Linked DNA regions of Callithrix jacchus. The protein of the gene in region 1 interacts with the protein of each later gene in a pairwise test. Links are inferred from orthologs where the notes say so. Each region holds a gene or a part of one and is shown on either strand. Other genes may lie near its edges. The genes, in order: GRIPAP1 and RAB4A.

The links.
Region 2: the proteins of GRIPAP1 (region 1) and RAB4A interact in binary tests that used the Homo sapiens proteins (3 or more experiments, as listed by UniProt). The link is inferred for Callithrix jacchus from reciprocal best matches to the Homo sapiens genes GRIPAP1 and RAB4A.

Annotation. Positions count from the first base shown.
Region 1 is NC_133524.1:49,539,469-49,545,679, reverse strand, and holds part of GRIPAP1 (GRIP1-associated protein 1), read left to right. Parts: coding exon 1-53; intron 54-281; coding exon 282-374; intron 375-1,894; coding exon 1,895-2,029; intron 2,030-3,083; coding exon 3,084-3,179; intron 3,180-3,522; coding exon 3,523-3,735; intron 3,736-3,862; coding exon 3,863-3,976; intron 3,977-5,353; coding exon 5,354-5,431; intron 5,432-5,533; coding exon 5,534-5,629; intron 5,630-5,751; coding exon 5,752-5,808; intron 5,809-5,907; coding exon 5,908-6,007; intron 6,008-6,211. UniProt on the Homo sapiens protein: Regulates the endosomal recycling back to the neuronal plasma membrane, possibly by connecting early and late recycling endosomal domains and promoting segregation of recycling endosomes from early endosomal membranes.
Region 2 is NC_133520.1:21,261,648-21,268,413, reverse strand, and holds the start of RAB4A (ras-related protein Rab-4A), read left to right. Parts: upstream 1-2,954; 5' UTR 2,955-3,121; coding exon 3,122-3,152; intron 3,153-6,766. UniProt on the Homo sapiens protein: The small GTPases Rab are key regulators of intracellular membrane trafficking, from the formation of transport vesicles to their fusion with membranes.

The DNA.
Region 1 (6,211 bases):
GGCAGGGGGAGCGCCTGGAACATGCGGCAGCTTTGCGGGCCTTACAAGATCAGGTATGCTGTACTGGGTGGGCTCAGGGAGGTGGGGTTCAGGATGGGGCAGCCTGAGTGGGTACTACCTAGGCAGGCAAGGTCCCAGGGGTCTTGCTTCCCCCAAACCTTCGTGTGTGTGTGTGTGTGTGTGTGTGTGTGTGTGTGTGTGTCCGTGTCCTTACTTAGCTGTGGGTAGGTCCTGTCCCCCTGTTTTGGACCCGCTCTCACCTGCTGTGGGCGTGGGACCAGGTATCCATCCAGAGTGCAGATGCACAGGAACAAGTGGAAGGGCTTTTGGCCGAGAACAATGCCTTGAGGACTAGCCTGGCTGCCCTGGAGCAGGTAAAGGATGCCTGGGGGCCCTTGCGGATCCCTCTCTGGTTCCCCCATCTCCATCTGCTTCTGGTCCACATCAGGGTAGGGTGGTCTGGCCCCATGCTGTTCTGTCTTTGTTTCTGTTGCTCCTTTTTGTTGGCGTCTAGCCCTTTTCTCTCTGGCCATCCATCCCTACTTTTTTGTTTTAACTTTAAAAAATTTTATTGGCCAAGCATGGTGGCTCATGCCTATAATCCCAGCACTTTGGGAGGTGGAGGTGGGCAGATCACCTGAGGTCAGGAGTTCAAGACCAGCATGGCCAACATGGCGAAACCCTGTCTCTACTAAAAATACAAAAGTTAGGCCAGGTGCAGTGGCTCACGCATGTAATCCCAGCACTTTGCGAGGCCAAGGCGGGCAAATCACAAGGTCAGGAGTTCGAGACCAGCCTGGCCAAAATGGTAAAACCCCATCTCTACTAAAAATACAAAAAAATTAGCTGGGCATGGTGGCACATGCCTGTAATCCCAGCTACTCGGGAGGCTGAGGCAGGAGAATTGCTTAAACCTGGGAGGTGGAGGTTGCAGTAAGCCGAGATTGAGCCACTGTACTCCAGCCTGGGTAACAGAGCAAGAGTCCGTCTCAAAAAAAATACAAAAATTAGCCGAGTGTGGTGGTGCCTGTAATCTAAGCTACTTGGGAGGCTGAGGTAGGAGAATCGCTTGAACCTGGGAGGCGGAGGCTGCAGTGAGCCGAGATGGCACCACTGCATTCCAGCCTGGGCGACAGAGCAAAACTCTGTCTCAAAAAAAAGAAAAAAAAATTTATTTTGTAGAGGCAGGGTCTCACTATGTTGCTCAGACTGGCTCAAACTTCTAAACTCAAGCTATCTTCCCACCTTGGCCTCCCAAAGTGCTAGGATTACAGGCATGAGCCACGGTGCCCAGCCTATCTGCCTTTCTTGCATTCTAGCTTCTCTCTAGTAAAGTGCATAAAGTGCATTAATCGTAAGTGTACACCCAGTGAATCCTCTCTTCCTTTCTCCCTCTCTCTCCCTCCCCCTGTCGCTGTCACTCTTTACTCTCTCTCTCTCTCTCTTTCTCACCCCACTGCTGCCATAGCCAACACCCAGATCAAGGAATAAAGCACTTTTAGTACCCCAGAAGGTCCCCTTTACCCTTTCACAGTCAGTGCTTCCCCAGAAGTAACTATTATTCTGATCTCTAGCAACAAAGATTCATTTTGCTTGTTCTTTAACCATATAAATGGAATCAGCTGCTCTTTGTCTCTGACTTCTTTCTGGCAGCATTATGTAAGTTTATCCATATGCAGCACAGGTCTGTTCTCTTATTGTTGTGTGATATTCCATTGGATGGAATACCACATTTACCCGTTCTCTTCATTGTTTTTCTGTTTGAGATTTCCTCTCTCTTCCTGGTTCTCTTCCCACCTCCCTCCCTGTTTCCCTGGATCTGGGAGGCTCATACCCTGTGCCTGGCCCCTGGGGTCCCTTTCACTCTACTTCTCATCACCACTGCTTTCTCCAGATCCAAACAGCAAAGACCCAAGAACTGAATATGCTCCGGGAACAGACCACTGGGATGGCAGCTGAGTTGCAGCAGCGGCAGGCTGAGTACGAGGACCTTATGGGACAGAAAGATGACCTTAACTCCCAGCTCCAGGTAACACCTTTGGCTCTGGCCTGTCTCCTCCTGGTTCCCTAAGTAATGGCCCAGTGAAGTCCTCAATAAGGTGGAATAGGAAGACTAGAATTAGAAGGACCTAGGTTCCAGTCTGGCTCCTTATTAGTACCTGTGTGTCCTGGGACAAGTCATTTCACTTCTCTGAAACTGAGCCTCTTCCGTTAGTTAGGATATCCATTCTTTTTTTTTTTTTAAGACATAGTCTTGCTCTGTCGCCCAGGCTGGAGTGCAGTGGTGTGATCTCAGTTCACTGCAATCTCCGCCTCCTGGGTTCGAGTGATTTTCCTGGCTCAGCTTCCCAAGTAGCTGGGATTACAGGCACCTGCCACCATGCCCTGCTAAGTTTGTATTTTTAGTAGAGATGGAGTTTCACCATGTTGGTCAGGCTGATCTCCAACTCCTGACCTCAGGTGATCCACCTGCCTCAGCCTCCCAAAGGATATCCATTCTGATTCCATAATAGAAACCAAAATAATAGTGGATTAAATAAGATAGAAATTTAGTTCTCTCTTGTTAAAAATCCAGGTAGGTTGTTCAGGGATGGAGTGATGGCTTTCCAGTTATCAGTGACCCAGGTCCTTTCTCCATTGCTGTTCCTCTACCTTCAACACAAGACTTTTATCTTAGCATCCAAGATGGTTGCTGAAGCTCCCCAACCATCATGTTTGCAATTTATTGGGAAGGAAGGAGGAAAGGAGGCAGGGAAGAGCGTGCCCCTTTCCTTTAAGAGTATAACCTAAATTACATTCACCGTATACAGGAATAAATCACATGGCCACACCTAACTGTGAGGGAGGAGGGGAAATATCTGCTAGACAACTGTATGCCCAACTATAAATTTTATTGCTAAGGAAGTAAGGGAAAATGAATACTGGGGAACAAGTAGCAGTCTCTGCTATATTTCGGATCCAGAAATTGAGATCACAATACCAACTTTACCAGGGAGAAGGGAGATGGTCTATTAGATGGTCCTGGGTGACTAGCACCTGCTAGGTGCTCTTTATCAAACTCATCCCCTTCGTGTCTGCATTAGGAGTCATTACGGGCCAATAGTCGGCTGCTGGAACAACTTCAAGAAATAGGGCAGGAGAAGGAGCAGTTGACCCAAGAACTACAGGAGGCTCGGAAGGTAGGGTAACATGAAGGTTTAGCAGGGAGGATGAGGGGTAGGAATTGGCTCAGTCGATGAGCCATGGGAGGATGGGGGTAGGTGATATAGCCAAAATATGTGGGGATATGAGGGAAAGGAAAATTGACTGGTTTGTGGTTGACCAGTTTCTTGGCCAAATCCATGAGAGTGGGAGGGGAAAGAAAGAAGTGACAAGTTCCATAAGGATAGGTGAGTACCTTAGCCAGTTCAACAGGGATGGGAGGGAGTAGAGTTTGGCTAGTTCCTTGGTCATGGGAAGAAGATGGGAGGTCTTTTCTTGGTGTTATGGAAGGAAGTTGACTGCCATCCTCCTGGCCCCCAGAGTGCTGAGAAGCGGAAGGCCATGCTGGATGAGCTGGCAATGGAGACGCTGCAAGAGAAGTCCCAGCACAAGGAAGAGCTGGGAGCAGTCCGTCTACGGCATGAGAAGGAGGTACTGGGAGTGCGTGCCCGCTATGAACGTGAGCTCCGAGAGCTGCATGAAGACAAGAAGCGTCAGGAGGAGGAACTCCGTGGGCAGATCCGGGAGGAGAAGGTGGGTGGGTAGATGACAATGCCTTTCCTCCTCTGAAACCACAGCATTGCTGATAGACCAGTGTGTAGTGTGTGTGAGGTGCCTACTCCTCTGCTTGCCTGGCCCATGACAGTCTGCCCCATCCCAGGCCCGGACACGGGAGCTAGAGACTCTCCAGCAGACAGTGGAAGAACTTCAAGCTCAGGTACACTCCATGGATGGAGCCAAGGGCTGGTTTGAACGGCGCCTGAAGGAAGCCGAGGTGAGTTGGTGATGCCTGGTCCTCACCATGACTGGAGCCCTCATGTCAAACCATAGAAGCAGGAGTAGTCAGGCCCTGGAACTTTCTGAGATGTTCTGAGCTTAGGGATATCCTCATAGTCCTCTGACTCAATAGCAGCCCTCTGGACTGGATCAGGGGATGGCCATCAGATAGGACATACTGTCACATGTTCAAGGCTGCCCTGCCTTTGTGCAAATTTCAAAAGGCACTTCTTTCTCCTGAAACAGTACTTCTGTCAGGAAATTAATGCAATACACTGATGTTATTTGAACAAGAACCTGCTGGGTGTGGTGGCTCATGCCCGTAATCCCAGCACTTTGGGAGGCCGAGGTGGGCAGATCACTTGAAGTCAGGAGTTGGAGACCAGCCTGGCGAACATGTTGAAACCCCGTCTCTACTAAAAATACAAAAATTAGCCAGGTGTTATGGCTGGCACCTGTAATCCCAGCTACTCAGGAGGCTGAGGCAGAAGAATCACTTGAACCCAGGAGGCAGAGGTTACATGAGCTGAGATTGTGCCACTGCACTCCAGCTTGGGTGACAGAGTGAGACTGTCTCAGAAAAAGAACTTTTGTTGCCATTTTCTGGAAATCTTTTTTTTTTTTTTTTGAGACGGAGTCTCGCTCTGTCATCCAGGCTGGAGTGCAGTGGTGCCGTGTCAGCTCACTGCAACTTCCGCCTCCCGGGTTCAAGTGATTCTCCTGCCTCAGCCTCCTGAGTAGCTGGGACTATAGGCACGTGTCACCATACCCAGCTAATTTTTTGTATTTTTAGTAGAGACGGGGTTTTACTGTGTTAGCCAGGTTGGTCTTGATCTGACCTTGTGATCCGTCTGCCTTGGCCTCCCAAAGTGCTGGGATTACAGGCATGAGCTACCTCGCCTGGTCCATTTTCTGGAAATCTTATAATACATTGAAAGGAATTGTCATGTAGCAGTGGAAAGCACAGGTGGGAGCCAGTTGTTTGTCTAGATTTAAATCCTGGCTGGGCTGCTTCCTAGCTGTGTGACCTTGGGCAAGTTATCTTACCTCTCTGTGGCCTGTTTTCATCAATGGTAGAAAGAGGATAACAATAATATCTACCATCTAGGTATTATGGGAGAATTATAGAAAATGAGTAGTAAGTGCTGTGTTATGTTTTGTTAAATAAGAGAAAATGGTAATGGAAATCTAGGTCAACCATGTGAATGGTGCAGACCTAGATGTGAACTTCTGCATACTGCCTAAGGGCGTGTGGGGTTCCCCACAGGAAGGGTCATTTCTGCATACCTCTGGACCCCCATTGCAGTCCCTCATACCCCTAACGGGGATGATGTCTTCTGGGAGGCTGTGGCGAGACCTGGGACTTGTCTTGTAGGAATCCCTGCAGCAGCAGCAGCAGGAACAAGAGGAAGCCCTCAAGCAGTGTCGGGAGCAGCATGCTGCCGAGCTGAAGGTGCCTCTCGCATGATGGTGTTCCTCTCTCCAGATAGTGACGGGCCCCTTGGGAGGACAGAGGCTTCTCTAGCCGAGACCTGAGCTGCTTTCTGCTTTGCAGGGCAAGGAGGAGGAACTACAGGATGTTCGGGATCAGCTCCAGCAGGCCCAGGAGGAGCGGGACTGCCACCTGAAGACCATTAGCAGCCTGAAGCAGGTCAGCAAACCCTGTACAGCCCCAGACACACCCCTGATCCTCTGTGTGCATCAGGGCAGGGGGGGAGCATGCTGCAGGCAACTCTTCCAGCACCCACCAGCCATGCTTGCTTTCTCCCACAGGAGGTGAAGGACACAGTGGATGGGCAGAGGATCCTGGAGAAGAAGGGCAGTGCTGCGGTAAGACAGAGGGATGCCCAAGCATGGCTCCCTCCTACCAGTAGCCTCCTCCTATAGGCCCACTGGGCCTCAGTCCTAATCTTACCCCCTACCCCAAAGCTCAAGGACCTCAAGCGGCAGCTGCATCTGGAGCGGAAACGGGCAGACAAGCTGCAGGAGCGGCTGCAGGACATCCTCACTAACAGCAAGAGCCGCTCAGGTGAGGGACCAGGACAGGAAGAGGAGGCTGAGGCAGAGGGGAGGCAGGGCCTGGGCCTGCAGGCTGCAGGTCAGTCCTGCATCTTCCTCGGTTGTGCTTTCCTGCTTCTGTCGCTCTAGAACTTCATCTGTCTTTTACCTTTTCTTTGTCTCTCCTCTGATTCTTTCTCTGCATTCTCTGTTTATTTCTTTCTGTCTCTTTTTT
Region 2 (6,766 bases), on another chromosome or scaffold:
TTCTAATGCATAGCCAGTCCTACCTGAGTGATGGTGGAGATGTGTTTAGTTAAAACACATTTGGTCAGCCTGGGTCTATGAGGGCCCATGATGAGTGGATCTCTGCGAGTGGGAGTGGACAGGTAGTCTGAGTGAGGAATTTTGCTGTGTAAGTCACAAATGGGTTGAGAGATTTTCATCACTGTAATCTAGCCTATTCTGACTGAATATTCCCTAGCAACAGAGGGATCTGATCATGGACATTGATTTGTTTGACAGTGGAAGGTAAACTGGCCCAGTGACCTCTGAGGTCTCTGCTTTCTTGAAGATGTGAGTTCTATGTCATAGTCTCCAGCAGCCTGGGTGTGGAATCGAGCTTCCATTTTCAAGTCTCCACTTGTATGTCCAGAATTTGGCTCCTTCTCAAAGTAACACCCAGGGATTGCTGAGTTCCCAAGTGCTCAGACACAAGTCCACTCATGTTCTTCAATTCTAGTTACCAAAGAAAGTCACCATTCCACTGAGGCTGTGACCATGCCCTCCACCAAGCCTAGCTCCAAGAATCCCATACATCAAGCCCCAGGGTGCCTCACATTGGGCATTAGATGTAAGGTTCTGCCAGATCCTTCAGCATTGTCAGGGAGCCGGAAGGAAAGTATCAGATACTTGAAGGACCTACGGACCTGGAAAAAAGTGGGATCTCCTTTCAGCTAGAAAAAATCCTTCTCCATAATTATATTTCCCTCAGACAAATCTCCAACATGCCTAGGCTTTTGTATATCTGTTTTCAGTCTGTCACAAACCTCCCCCAAAGAGAAAGGAGATGATATCTGAAGAAAACCATAAATTAATCTTGCAATAATTTTTTCTTTCATACAATCAGTAGTGCCTCAGAATCAAAGTGGTCTCTAAGGATATTTTGAAGAAATTCATTTTCTTTCAAAGATCCAAAGTTACTGAGATGCAGAGAATCTTCCACAGTATCATTCAAGGATACTGAATGGCTCCTTAAAATCTCACCGCTGCATATTTCTTCTTCCAGTTGTGATACTGCTGTTACACGTGCAAACTAAATGATCTCTTTGGGTGGTTTTTCCAAAATAAATAGTCTTTCCCAAAAGCTTACCTAAGTCTTCATTTTCCACAAAGTAGAAAACTACCCATGGCTTTGAAAGAGCAGCATAATTTGTATTTCTACCACCTTGTCCAGGTTTCGGGGTTCTCCAGTCCAGTTTCAGTCAATAACGCTAACTATCACTGCAGCTCAGTGACTTCTTCCTTGTCCATAGCAGTTTTTGACAGAAAAAAAAAACCAAATCTAACAAATGGGAATGACTTCAGGTAATGCTGTTTTCTTCCCACTGTCTTTCCTCTGAAATGGTTTTAATCAGAACCAATTTGTTGTACTCAGGAGCCTTAATCAAACCTGACATGCAGAGAACCAAGCGAGAAAGCAACAAAAGATCTGAGCCATTGAACAAGGAATATATACAAAACAATTTTAGGAAATTACAGCTCTCACAACTTTTCAGCATGAGGCCTTCTCTGTAATTTAGAAAAAAAAATGCATTTATTTGTTATTAGGATCAGAGAGAAGAGAAAAATACCCACCCAAATAGCCACTGGGGAAGAGGGAAGCTCTGATGACAATTTATGTGGAGGATGGAGCCAAACTGACTCAGGAAAAAAAAAAAAAAAAAAAAAAAAAGTATGTACTGGCATTTTCCACACAACCCAGGTCACTTGGGAACTAAGCCAAGGATATTTTGAGCATTCAACTACCTATTGTGAACAAGGCTGGGAACTATGAGGCGCTACGTGGCCCTGATCATGCTCAGATGGGCCAAATTATCAACCAAAATTCTCTTTCCCATAAATGTTTATCTCTACATTTCCCACAGAAGGGGATTCAAACTCACTTTTGCTTCTGAAACCAAACTATCCAAAGCCAGGTGAGATGACTCACGCCTGTAATCCCAGCAATTTGGGAGACCAAGGAGAGAGGATGCTTGAACTCACCAGCTCAAGACCAACCTGGGCAACATAGTGAGATCCAATCTCTACCAAAAAAATTAAAAATTAGCACGGTGTAGTGGTGTGTTCCCCTAACCCTAGCTACTCAGGAGGCTGAGGCAGAATTGGCTGGGCTGGGCTGACAGAGCCAGACCCTATTAAAAAATAAAAATAAAAATTCCTAAATTTGGAAACATCCCCAACTGAGAGCCAAGAGATACGTCTCAGCCGTAACCCAGAATCCTGTAATACGGGATGTGGAGAGGTTACTGTCTGTAGGCTTGTGGTGACCCTTCAGCACCTGGGCACCTTGCACTTCTGTGGATCCGCCCACATCCGCTCAGCTCCACCCAAGAGGGTCGGGCAGTTGGGAGTGAAAGCTTAGTAGCTTCCCAACAGGTGAATGAACCTGCCTCCCACTCCCAGGGCGGCCTCTGGCCGTACACCTGGGGCCTGCTGCCTCCTTGTTACACATTAACCAAGTCTGGCCTCGATAGTAACACCGTCAGGGAAGTTTCTTCCTGGCTGACAGCCACAGATGATGAAGGTGGACAACGTCTTAACGGAAACGGGCCAATTTGGCAAATGGACTGCTTTCCTCTCCAGTGCTGGCACCTTCCTCCTTTGTCCGGCAGCTGGACCCCACTGTCCTCAGCCCTCTGTCACCCCAAGCCTGCCCACCGCCCGCCTCTCCCCGACCTTCCCTGCGGGAAATCCGGGCTCAACCCCCAGATCCCGCAGCCGCAGCTCGGCCCGCCCGGGCGCACACCGCCAGGCGGCCCAGGCCATGCACGTGCTTGCGCCGCGCGCCGAGGTCCCCGTGCGCCCCGCCCAGGCTTCCCCGTGCGCACGCGCAAACGCAGGCCCGGGCTGGCGGCGGGGAGGGGGCGGGCCTCGCGTAGCCCTCCTCCTCCCGGTCGCGGCCGGACCGAGGGCGGAGGGCCCTGCGCCTGCGCGGAGCCGGAGTCCGGCTGGACTGCAGCCGCTGGGAGGCCGGCGGTTGCCGTGGGGACCGGTTGGGCCCCTCCCTCCTCCGGTCCCCCTCCCCAGGGCCTTCCCCACCGCGACACGCCGGCGGACCGCGGGCGAGAGCAGCCGGTGACCCGGCGAGAGGCGGCGCCGCTCCAAGATGTCGCAGACGGCCATGTCCGAAACCTACGGTACGAGGCCCGGGCTGGCCGGGCGCGCGGGTCGGGCCTCGGGGGGCGTCGGCGACGCTGGGCAGGGCCTGGGCTGTGGGGGTCTTGAGGGTCTTTGTGGCACCGGCCAGAGCCGGGGGACGGATCTCCAAGTGTCGGCGCTTGGGACGGGGATGGGTGCGCGGGCCGCGGGGGGCTCGGGGTGGGGTAGCGGGTGTGCGGGCGCGGGCAGGGCTGTTCACAGCGCACTGGCGTGATTCGCCTTTTCAAGTTTCCTCCTGCTCTTTCTCCGCGCTTGCACTCTTAGCGTTTTCCCCTCCGTCTAATGTAAATAACTGAAGGTTTGGAAAGCCAGCTTAATGTTCTGTTTCAGCTGCGATATTATCCCCAGCGAGCGGTGTGAAGGGCTTGGGGCGACGCCTGTGCTCCTCAAACACTCCAGTTTGACCTTTCCTGGTTTGGAATTCCTTGCTTTACGTTGGGATTACAGTGAGGAGTTATTGATAGACGAATTCAGCTCTTCCTCCGGAGACCTCTTGCTTCGTTTATTTCTCCCTCTCTCTCAGTGGTTTTTAGCCTTTTCTGGGTTGCATTTTGGCTATTTATGAACATGTCTTGTCTCTTGTCTCCTTAAGACCGTAAGCGCCTTGGAAGCAAAGTCCTGGCTGTTTAATCTTTGTTCCCCTGCAGCACTCAGACCTGGAGGTGCTCGACAAATATTGTTTTGAATAAGCGAAAGCTTTCCCAATGCATATACTGTGTCCTTCCTCTCTCCCTCTCCCTCTCCCTCTCTCTCTCTCTCTCTCTCTCTCTCTCTCTCTCTCTCTCTCTCTCGTCTCTCGCCTTGCGTGGCAAGAATAAACAACTTGTACTTTGTATCAGGGTTGAATATTTATAGAGGTTTACCGGTCCCTAATCACTCTTTCAGATGTTAGTTTTCTCAGATTAAGACTTTGATTTGGAGTTTTAAAATCCCAGAGAGAGGCTCAAGATCAAAATTACATACCTCAAGCCAAATTAGTCCTGTCTCCATCTGTCCGGGCGTGCTGCTTTCCTTCCCTGCAACAAATGCTGTGGAATGGCATTAGGGAAGCAGGCACCACGCTGGGAGGGCTGTAAGTACTGCAGAGACACGGCTCTGCTCTCATGGAGCGTACAGTCTGTTGAGGGAATGCAGTATTAATCCAGTTGTGATACTAATGAGTGAATAACTTAAAACCAGGCAAGAGTTCTGAAGAAATGTGGTCTGCGAAAGTGTGTTAGAAACAAAGTTGACCCAGACAGGGGTGTCAGGGAGGCATTAACCAGGCAGCACACAGAACATCTCAGGCCTGTGGGAAGGGCAATTCCAGAAGGGTGTTTCAAGCATTACGCTGGGGAGATGGATGAGGAGGCAGAGAGAAGAGGGCCCTGAGGAAGGCGTCAGTCTGTCTCCTAAGAAAAAAAATGAGAACTTTTGGAAGGGTTTCCGTGCTGGAGTCACAGTGCATTTGGTCCAACATAAGTGAGTGACTCCTGTGACTGGTACTGCCCTGCTCTTGGTGACACAGGGGCATGACATCTGTTCCTAGAAGGCTTAGGATATCTTCCAGTAAGTCGATGCCTTCATCATGACAAGTGTTTGCAAATGCTTCTGCAAATGACAGTGGTCTGGTTCTTCCTGTAGAGAACCACAGTCAGAAATGTAAGGAAAACGTACTCTTTAGCAATTTTTGGTTACAGCTTTGCACTTCTTTCAAGTGCTCTTTAGCTCACACTTAGTTTCTTTAACCTGAGTAAGGAGCAGGGAGCACTAGGGAAGGGTGGAATGTCCAACTAAGAAAAGCAAATGGGGGTCATGAATCAGTAAGAAAGGACTGGAAGAGTTCAGGAGATAGAGCTTTTAGTGCTTCATTTTTCATAGACACAGCCGATAAAATAGAGCATATCTTTGGCATCTCCACTTCAGACACAGTTAACTGAACTTCTCAGCATCACAGATTGACTGATTAAATTCTAATCATAAGGCTTTGACCATTAGTATTCTTATTTCATGGTAACTTTCAAATATATTTTTACTTTCCAACTCTGAATTGAATTTTTTCTTCTGATAGAGGAAATTAAAAACTAGTAGGAACTAATCAATAGAAAATGAGGCCAGACAGGATGGCTCATGCCTGTAATCCCAACACTTTGGGAGGCCGAGGTGGCCAGATTAGTTGAGTTCAGGAGTTTGATACCAGCCTGGCCAACATGTCGAAACCCCATCTCTATTAAAAATACAAAAAATTAGCAGGATGTTGTGGCACACTTGTAATCCCAGCTACTCAAGAGGCTGAGGCATGAGAATTGCTTAAACCCAGGAGGCGGAGGTTGCAGTGAGCCAAGATTGTGCCGCTGTACTCCCACCTGGGCAACAGAGTGACTCTGTCTCCAAAAAAGAAAGAAAGAAAATGAGTTTTAGAGAGAGCAAGCAGGACAGCTGAAGTTTGCCAAGCTAAAGTAAAAGTCACCTAGAACCAAGTCCTGAGCTGTCACTTTCACTTATCATTGGCCATATTTATACAGCATTGTTTCTTAAAAGTCAAACAGTCAGGCTCCCTTCTGGACTTTTGCCTCTGAGCTGGTGAAAGAATGTTTGCCTAACCTTTAAATTCCTTTGTAGTCTGTGCTCATTTTCTCCTCTGTAAAAGGAGGCTCTGTGCAGCTTGACAGAGAGATGAGGAAAAATCAAGAGCCAGTGCATGAAATGAACTGGTTTGGTTTGGTTTTGAAACAGGATCTCACTCTGTCACCCAGGCTGGAGTGCAGTGGCACAATCATAGCTCACTGCAGCCTCCACCTCCCCAGCTCAAGTTATCCTCCCACCTCAGCCTCCTGAGGAGCTGGGACCACAGGTGCACGCCTCAACACCTGACTCATTTAAAAAAATTTTTTTTGTATGTTGCTGTGTTGCTCAGCCTCGTCTTAAACTCCTGGGCTCAAGTGATCCTCGTGCCTCCACCTCCCGAAGTGTTTGAGATCACTGAAATCAGTCATGAGCCACTGTGCCCTGCTGAAATGTACTGTTAATGAGCTACCTCTAATTAATATGCTCACTTAATATACCTTTAACATACTAAAGCTATATATCACCTTCCATAGACTGAGTAGCATTCAACATTTTTGTGGCTTTGAGGTCACTAACCACATGAAGACTGTACTTTATGTAATATCGTGAAACAAATTGAAATCACAGATAGGTTTCAAATGAAACGGTAATCTGAATATTAGAAGCAAGATTCTCCCAAATGTCATCAGGTACACAAAATTCTTAAAGCTCTGGCCAGTTAGTATGGCCTGGGACTTCCCAAGGAACTCTGCTTCAGCCATCTGAGACCTGGGAGATTACAAATTGGTTGAAAGTAATTTTGATGCCAAGCAGCGATGTTCAGAAAGGAGCTAAAAAAGTATATGTATGGGAAAATGCCAGAAATTTCCTTCAAAATTTAAGTGCTGGGGTAGTTTGAGAGTGAGGAAAAATCTAATACAAAATCTCTACATATTAGAGTTTATGCCATCTACAATGGGAATAATTTATGAAACAGAAGAATATAACTCAAATTGCTGGTTCTATGCTCATTTTTATAAAATATACTCTTAAAGTTTTTATTTTG